Ovis aries: one gene and its partner. The protein of the gene in region 1 binds, or shares a complex with, the protein of each later gene. Links are inferred from orthologs where the notes say so. Each region holds a gene or a part of one and is shown on either strand. Other genes may lie near its edges. The genes, in order: S1PR1 and CD69.

Region 1 (4,410 bases):
TTAAACCGTGACATTTCCTTCATCAACAAAATGACCAACATTTGCTTCACAGAGCAGTAGTGTTAAATTAGATAATCTACCACGTGCCTGATACTGGGTGTACTATTTAGTTCTTTTCCCTTTAAAGAACTCATAAATTAGTGGATGGGGTGAAGTTTGCCAAGTCCACATATTATGTTGTGCTGAGCAGACACAATATATCATCCCTTTAAGAGAAATACATCCTCAAGCCCAATCAGAGTTTATTCTAGAGGACCTTTATCTTGGTTTCTATGTCTTACGAATTTACTGTTGTTGAATTTGAGGGTGTGTGCTGGGCTCAAGGCTGTTGATGAGAGCTTTTGGGGAAACTGTATTCTAACTGTCATTTGATTTTTTTTTTTTTTTTTCCTTTGCAAAGTCATAAGATCCCAGAAGCCAGGAGTTGTTGTTTATTCATTCAGCCTCCTTCTGAGTCATTCAGGTACAGGGTGTGCCTGTACTGTGTTAATTGAAACTTCACAACGGAGAAGTTTTGCGTTGACATCTGCCTGGATGGGAAGCCAGTGAGACCAGAGATCGGGTGGAAACCGTCTTGCAAAGCCTCAAGCAGAAGGGCAGGGCAGAAGGGCCCTCAGTTTACCACTTAGGCGGAGCTGACCAAGGCCGACTCTCAGTCTCACATTCTGAAGCAGCATGCAAGCGAAAGGAAACAGTGGGCGAGTTGTGAGCACTGAGGCTGGGCCTCCGAAGTAGAAAGACGTAGAAAGACAGACAAGGGCTCCGGCCCCAGGCTGCCGGTCCTAGGCTGGTCCGTGCCGGGCAGCCCTTTCTCTTTGGAAACTCCTGAGCTGCCCAAGCTATTTAAACTCGCGGGCCCCGGCAGCTGCCCACCTCCTCACAGACCTCACCACTGGCTAGAATCTGGGACACAAGGCCTGATTTTGCGCCCAGTTGAGTGAGGGGAACCCCCGCACAACACCTCGCCCCCAGCTGGCCCATTTCACTGTGCGCCCCGCGAAAGCCACTTTCTGCCCCCTCAGACCGCAAGTTTCGAGGCAGCAGAAGGATGAGGGTGAGGGAGGGAGGTGAGCTGAAGCGGTGGAACCTCCCAGGCCATTCTTCTACCCGGGCAGCATTTCTCCTCCATCCTTCTGGCAGCCCCTTCCCAGCACCCCGTCCCCAGGAACACGACCGGGACTCGCGGGGTCGCGGAGCTGGTTTCCCCCTGCCTCCGCAGAAGCGCCTGGGGTCGTGGTGGGGTGGCGGCCCGGAGCGCCCGGCCACAATCTTCGGACTCCGATCCCCCACGGGCTGCGGGGTTAAGGGGACCAGAAAGGCGCACTAGATTGCCCAGGCCGTCCTCTGTCTCCCAAGACTCTTCTTGAGAAAAGTTTCCAAAAGCGCTTCCCCTCCTTTCTTTTCTAAGGCTGGGGAGAGCTGTCTCCACCGCCAGGGAGCGGCGGATAGCAGGGCGAGGACCGTGATTTATACATTGAGTCCAGGGGGCACCAGGCTCCGCCCCCTTTCTTTCTTTCTTTTTTTTTTCCCCCTTCTTTTTTTGGTTCCCTTGGGGAGGAGGGGCTCTTTTTTGTCTGTGTGTTTCTGCTGCAGATCTTTCCTGGACAGTGAGTCTCAGCTGCACAGATCCGGCGGCCCCCAGGCGCGAGCGGAGGGGCACGGGGGTTTGAGGCACTCACTCCTCCTCATCCCTTCCTAGAGAAGCCGCTCAGCCTCAGCGGGGCGCTCGGCGACTTCAGCTGACCGGTCTGCCCGGCCACGGCAAGAGCGTTGGCCATTGGAGTGTGCGGCTGCGGAGGGAGGGGACCCCGACTCGAGTAAATTGAGAGCTCGACGCCGTCAGTCCCGGGCAGCAGCAAGATGCCGAGCGCTCAGTGCAGACCCGGAGCTCCGCGAACGCAGCTGCGTCCCGCCTGAGCCAGGTAGGGAGTGAGCGCTGGGCAGGCGCGGACCCGGGCGAGCAGGGGAGCATCGCGACCGGAGGTCTTCCGAGGCAGAAACAAAATTTTCAAACCGGAGAGAAGCAAAGCAACACTTTTAAACCATCCATCTCTGGGTGCTGAGAACAAGCATCTCTGGGCTACTCAGGCGCCCAACCGGATCGGATTGTTCTGGGCTCACTAAAAAGTTTGGAAAAGGGTTAAGTCCTCTTTGTAGAACCCTCTGGGGTTGGGGGATAGAGGAAGTTGCGGTGGGTCTGCGGAGTGGGAGGGAAGGCGCTTATTTTGGAAAATCCTATAGACAAAGACTGCGGGAGATGAGGTAAGGGCTTAAACTTGCCCTGCGAGCGAGCGAGTGTGGAATTAGGTGGGGGGAAACGCGGAGCTACTGGGCGCCGAGCAGCCTCTGCTGTCCCGGGAATTGCTGTAGTCTGGAGAATTCCACTTTTATCGCATTTGCTACCCTGAGTGTTACCCTGAAACATTTAAACAACTTACGGGTAGACTTCTGCCCACACGTGCCGTGTTTCATCCCCTCCACACTTCGTAGTTCTCTGAGACGAGGCAACGTATTGAGGGAGGGCAGTAAATAAAACTGGCTTAGCAAGGAACCTCCAGACTTCTGTTTGTATGAGTTTCTGGAGAGTAATTTTGCATTCGAAATTTGAAATGCAGTGGCGTGTATTTTTAGCGTTTGTAATTTAATTTCTCTTTTTTGTATGCGTGTTTGGGCTATATCCACAGTAACTAAAAAATACTTTTGCAATCAATGGGTGTACGAAACTTCTGGGATTTATTGCAATAGCTTATGAATGATTTTTACTGAGTACTTTTATAGTTTCTTGCACTGACTTGCGCGGAAAAAAAAAAAAAAAAGAAGAAGAAGAAGAATGAAAAGGCAGTTGCTTCACGGAGGCGCTAAAGCTTTCCTGTTTACCGCAAGGCCAGGGCGGGCTTGGCTGCCCACACTGTGCTGCGCCTTCGGACCCTAAGCACACCTGCTCCTAGAGATTATTAATAGAGCCTAAAAAGTGACTTACGCTGTCAAATGATTTTCGCGCAAATCTAACTTCTTGCATGGCAATTAGGAGGTGGTTTTAGCTGGGTAGTGCCGAGCACAGAGGTGTGCGTCTCACATTGGTGGTTTGGTCTCTTCGAAGGTGTGACTAGGAGCTAGTGGTGAGCCCGCCGCGAAGCTGGTGAAGGCTTTAGTTTTTCAACTGGAGCTGGAAATCTGGTGGAGGTGGGGACAGCGTTGGGAGAGGCGGAGGGGTGTGTGTGTGTGTGTGTGTGTGTGTGTTGAGGACGTAGGAGTGGAATTAAATGGGGCTCACACCTCCAGTTTTCCCATTTCCATTTGGGTATATGTAACCATAGGGGACGTTTTCGTCTTGTCGTCGAGTCGGAGTTTTCATCTTGGGTAATTTTTCTTTTTTCCCTTTCTTTCTCTCTCTCACCCTTCTTCCTTTTTCCCCCCAAGAAATGAGAGTTTGATGTTTTTTTTTTTTTTTTAAATCCTTCCCCCCTGCGCTCTCCCCAAGTTTCCTTAAAACAAATCAACAAGAAAATTGGAGCAATGCCTTCGCTAGAATGAATTATGCCAATGTGCTGTGGCTTTTTCCCTGACTCTCTGCTCTTTGTGATTTGTTTAAGGCTGTGGTTTCCGAGGCCCTCTCCAGCTTAAGAAAACCTTCACAAAAAAAGCCTGGATCTCTCTCCTTGAACCACCCCGGCTGCCTGTGAAGGCTCGCTCCGCTTCGCCCTCTAGCGTTCATCTGCAGAAGCGCCGCCCCGGGTGTCGGGACCGTGCGCATCATGGGGTCCACCCGCATCCCCCTGGTCAAGGCCCTGCACAGCCCTGTCTCCGACTATGTCAACTACGACATCATTGTCCGGCATTATAACTACACGGGAAAGCTGAAGATCAGCGCGGACAAGGACAATGGCATTAAACTGATCTCAGTGGTGTTCATTCTTATCTGCTGCTTTATCATCCTAGAGAACATCTTTGTTTTGCTGACCATCTGGAAAACCAAGAAGTTCCACCGACCCATGTACTATTTTATCGGCAACCTGGCCCTCTCAGACCTGTTGGCGGGAGTGGCCTACACAGCCAACCTGCTCTTGTCTGGGGCCACCACCTACAAGCTAACCCCCGCCCAGTGGTTTCTGCGGGAAGGGAGTATGTTTGTGGCCCTCTCGGCCTCCGTGTTCAGCCTCCTGGCCATCGCCATTGAGCGCTACATCACTATGCTGAAGATGAAGCTCCACAATGGGAGCAACCGGTTCCGCTCCTTCCTGCTCATCAGTGCCTGCTGGGTCATCTCCCTCGTCCTGGGGGGCCTGCCCATCATGGGCTGGAACTGCATCAGCACGCTGCCCAGCTGCTCCACCGTGCTGCCGCTCTACCACAAGCACTATATCCTCTTTTGCACCACGGTCTTCACTCTGCTCCTGCTCGCCATTGTCG
Region 2 (4,486 bases), on another chromosome or scaffold:
GGAAATGGTAACCCACTCCAGTGTTCTTGCCTGGAGAATCCCAGGGATGGCAGACCCTGGTGGGCTGCCGTTTATGGGGTCGCAGAGAGTCGGACACGACTGAAGCGACTTAGCAGCAGCAGCAGCAGCCTACAGTGGTGGTGTACTTGATAAGTGTCCGACTCTTGCAACCCCATGGACTGTAGCCTGCCAGGCTCCTCTGTCCATGGAATTCTCCAGGCAAGAATACTGGAGTAGTTTGTCATTTCCTCTTCCAGGGGATCTTCCCAAACCACGAACTGAACCTGGGTCTCCTGCATTGCAGACAGGTTCTTTGCCAACTGAGCTACAAAAGAAGCCCAAGCCTACAGTAGATGTCAATTTCCCACCCACTTGACCATAGCATTTTCACAAAGGCTTTATTCTGAAAACAGAATATCTTTATTCAAGTCACATTAATGACAAAATTTGAGGATACTAAAATTATTAAGTAGAGCAGTATTTTGATCCTCTCCTTAAATCACCAGATATAGACATTCTGCATTTATTTTGCATTGAGCTTAATAACTTACCTGGATGACATTGATACTATGGTAATATATTTTTATAGTTATTATACTCTAATCTAGCAAATGGAAGAAAAATAGGATAAAAAGATTTTACTAAGGGGAAATAAGGCAGTCCAAATGACAGTCATGCTGCTGCTGCTGCTGCTGCTGCTAAGTTGCATCAGTCGTGTCCGAGTCTGTGCGACTCCATAAACGGCAGCCCACCAGGCTCCCCCATCCCTGGGATTCCCCAGGCAAGAACACTGGAGTGGGTAATGACAGTAATATATAACATGAAAATTGAGGAGATAAATGAAATTGATCGTTTAAGATAAACAATTTTAGAACATAGAAAGGAAGTTCCAGCCACAAAGTTTCTATTTCCTGCATTAAAGCAACTACTTACTAGATAACTTACTAACTAGATGACTTAAGAAATTAGTTCCCAGGGAAGAAGTGAACGGCACATTTCTAAAAGCCAGTTTATAGTGCACTAAGTAAAACACTTCCAGACTGGAGAAAGATCCATGAGGATAGATGTCTTAAATCTTTTAGCCAACAATAAATCTTCTAACCCCAAATGGTGTTGGGTTCATAGCAGATGTTCAATGAATATTAGTTGTTAAACTTATGATTTAATGAATGAATGGGATTCCAGGGAAAAATGACTCTTCAAATTATTTCCATCTCAAATATAGGAATCTCTAACTTTTAATTCTTTACTTGGATATTCTATTTCCTAAACTATTTGTTTTCTACAAATTTAAAAAGGATATCTCAGATTCTGGGAAATTCCTGCTTGCCTCTTCATACTGCACCTACCTTTGTGAGAAAGCACATTTCAGATGGCAGGGGAAACCCATAGCTTACCACAACAACACATTGTAAACTGTCTGGGCCTCTGGAGCATAAATTAAAGAGAACAGGAGTATCTGAGCGACTAGGAGGTGAGAGGAAGGGGGTGGAGACAACATAGCTGAATATAAACGTTGAGGTATCTCAAAGACACAGAGACAGAACAAGAGCTCCAGCAGAGAATTTCACTGTAGGTTGGCTCCACCTGGGATTAACCAGGGTGATTGTGACAAGGATAAAGATGAATTCTGAAGATTTTTCTGCAACAGAGACCAGCTCCTTGCACCTGAAAAGAGAACCACAAAGTAGGTCAATTCTTTTTCTCTAAATACTGGTAATATCTATTTCTATGTTTATATCTATCTATCTATGATATATACCAGGAGTTAGGGAGAAAATCAAGCTTGCCTTTTGTGGAAAAACTTGTCTATGTTCCATTTGAGCAGGACACAAGAGAAAGTGGGAAGAAGTAAATATTTCTTTATCTATGTGAACACAGAATACCTGAGACATGAAAGGAAATCACAAAGGTGAATTTTAGAAACTCCTTAAAGATCTGTCTCTTTGTTTTATTTTATACCATCTCAGTTTTTCAGATTTAATTAGAAAATCCCCTCCCTAGCCCAGTGAACAATTTTTTATAACCATCTGGATATCCCCTAGGAAGCACTGCCTCTCTTTATGAAAAATTCTATTTTTCTTTTTAAATTTTTAAATTTAAATTTATTTATTATGTGAGAGAATTCTATTTTTCATATAAATAATGATGTTCTTGACTGGCTGAACCTTGTACCATTGTGTGCTTTTCGTGGGCTTTATCTTGTGTTTTCAAGAAAACATCCTCCAGTTGCTGGGAACACAGGTTTCCAGACTTTGAGAGAATAGCCATATAAGCATCTGAATATTTATAGTGTCCAAAGGCAATTTATTTTGAGAACTTCATAAAGAATTCTTGAAAACACAATCGTCTTCTCTAGTCCTATGGGTGCTCTTTCCCTCCATTTCACTTTTCTATTTGTTGTTGTTGCTGTTCAGACACTAAGTTGTGTCTAACTCTTTGTGAACCCATGGACTGCAGCATGTGAGGCTCCCCTGTCCTCCACTGTTTCCCAGAATTTGCGTATATTCATGTCTCTTGAGTCAGCGATGCTATCTAACCATCTCATTCTTTGCTGCCCCCTTCTCTTCCTGCCTTCAATCTTTACCAGCATCACAGTCTTTTCCAATGAGTGGGCCTTTTGCATCAGGTGGCCAAAGTATTGGAGCTTCAGCATCAGTCTTTCCAGTGAATATTCAGAGTTGATTTCCTTTAGGATTGACTGGTTCAATCTTGCACTCCATGGGGCTCTCAAGAGTCCCCCAGCACCACAATTTGCAAGCATCACTTCCTTGGCACTCACTTTTCTATTTCATCTAATTGTGGACTTCGAATTCTATATGAATCAGACATTTTTCTTCCTTTCTTTTATTTTTCATCAAAATATGATTACCTTTGCTATATCACTTTTTTCCGTTTCTGTTTGTCTAATCTATCCATAGACCTTTTCATCTCTTGTCACCAGGATTTTCCCATTGTTTTCCAATAACTTTCTTGGTGGAACTTTCTTGACTTATTTCATTTCTCTCTCTCTTCCTCTCATGTTAATGAGGTGCCCCAAACACTAGAAGGTAGGAACTAGAGTTTACTTGTAAACCCAATTATCCAGTAACAAAGAATGTGTTCTGAACAACAGAGGTGAAAATATCTAGAGGAGGGGGTTGTTTACCGAATATGTGTCTACTAGTGTGGTTTGCTTTAGAAAAGCATTCATTGCCTCAGGTAAAACTGTCTTTCACTTAGGAACACAAAATCAAGTGTAGATATTGCAAACCACACAAAATTTTTGGTGACCAGATACCCATAACTTGATGACTCAGCTGAGTTTCCTGAAAGAAAAAAGTATATTAAAAAAGAAAAAAAAGAACAAGGAAACCATTCAATAATAGCATAGTTTAAATAAGAAGGAATTAATTGTAGGAATTCTAAACTTGTCCTGAAATCATCCCAATCTTCTATTGAATATTTGATTTATGAATATTTAGTCTATGCTGCTCTTGTAGCTTTATCAGTGTAAACAATCTTTGAGCACCACCCTTGGGGGATTCAATATGTACTAGAGGATTTGTTTTAAAATTTCTCCATTAATGGACAGGGCTTGTAACCAAACCGGAAGTATACTCTTAGGGGAGTGGTTTGTTGCCTAGGTGATAAAACAAACTGTGAATAACAATAGCCCTAACTAATGAACTAATGATATAACTTAAAATCAGAGAATCACCTCCACAGCTTACCCACTGGATGTCCAAGCCAACAGTGTGAGTCCACTGGATAAGCCAATGGACTCTGACATCCGTGAGCTACTTGGATGTGTTGATACCTGCTGAGGAGCCAGAGATGTTTCTGCATTGAGTTTGAGCCCCTTCATTGAGTCTCACATGGTGAGAAGTGAAACTAGACAGAGAGCTCTGAACTTGCTACCCTAAATACCAAGCGCTGCTTCTGGTAATAGTTGTATGCTGATGAGAAAATAAAGATATGCTTTAACAAGTTGAGAGAAATAGAACCGGATAGGAGTGAAGTAAAGTCTTCTCTTTGAAAATTTGAAAGCAGGCCTATGCTGGGAAAAACAACGTTCAGAAGAGGCAAATGTTGTCTTAACATCCATTGCATAGTAAATTGCTTTGAAGGAAAGCAGCATCTCTGTCTAGTTAAACCTTAAAGAATACAATTATAATATATGTTGAATTTTCATAGCTACTGAGTACATATTTTGGGAAATATTTTATAATCTCATTATTGTGACTGGATTGTTTCATTTCTAGCCAAAAATAACTTATTCAAAATTTGAGGAAACGTAACTTGTACATTTTATATAAGAAAGTAGGGAGACATATAATATTTTTTTTAATGCCTCAAGAGAAAATCAAATGTCTCTTTCTTACTTCTATAGCCTGCCTAATCATCCACTTTCTCTCTTCAGGTCATGCCACTGGGACTTACTCTGCAACATATCATGAAGGATCAATTCAAGTTCCTATCCCATGTGCTGTAGTAAACGTGGTCT

What was found.
Region 2: the proteins of S1PR1 (region 1) and CD69 are in contact, whole or in part, in a cryo-EM structure (PDB 8G94), measured with the Homo sapiens proteins. The link is inferred for Ovis aries from reciprocal best matches to the Homo sapiens genes S1PR1 and CD69. Residues at the interface, in NP_001307659.1 of Homo sapiens: Asn157, Leu160, Phe161, Ile164, Ser165, Trp168, Val169, Leu172, Ile173, Gly176, Ile179, Met180, Gly181; in NP_001772.1 of Homo sapiens: Val41, Ala44, Val45, Val48, Val49, Thr52, Ile53, Ile56, Ile59, Ala60, Val63.

Annotation. Positions count from the first base shown.
Region 1 is NC_056054.1:78,585,572-78,589,981, forward strand, and holds the start of S1PR1 (sphingosine 1-phosphate receptor 1), read left to right. Parts: upstream 1-1,606; 5' UTR 1,607-1,922; exon of another isoform or gene 1,923-3,360; intron 3,361-3,593; 5' UTR 3,594-3,755; coding exon 3,756-4,410.
Region 2 is NC_056056.1:205,852,425-205,856,910, forward strand, and holds the start of CD69 (early activation antigen CD69), read left to right. Parts: upstream 1-1,536; 5' UTR 1,537-1,623; coding exon 1,624-1,687; intron 1,688-4,402; coding exon 4,403-4,486. UniProt on the Homo sapiens protein: Transmembrane protein expressed mainly on T-cells resident in mucosa that plays an essential role in immune cell homeostasis.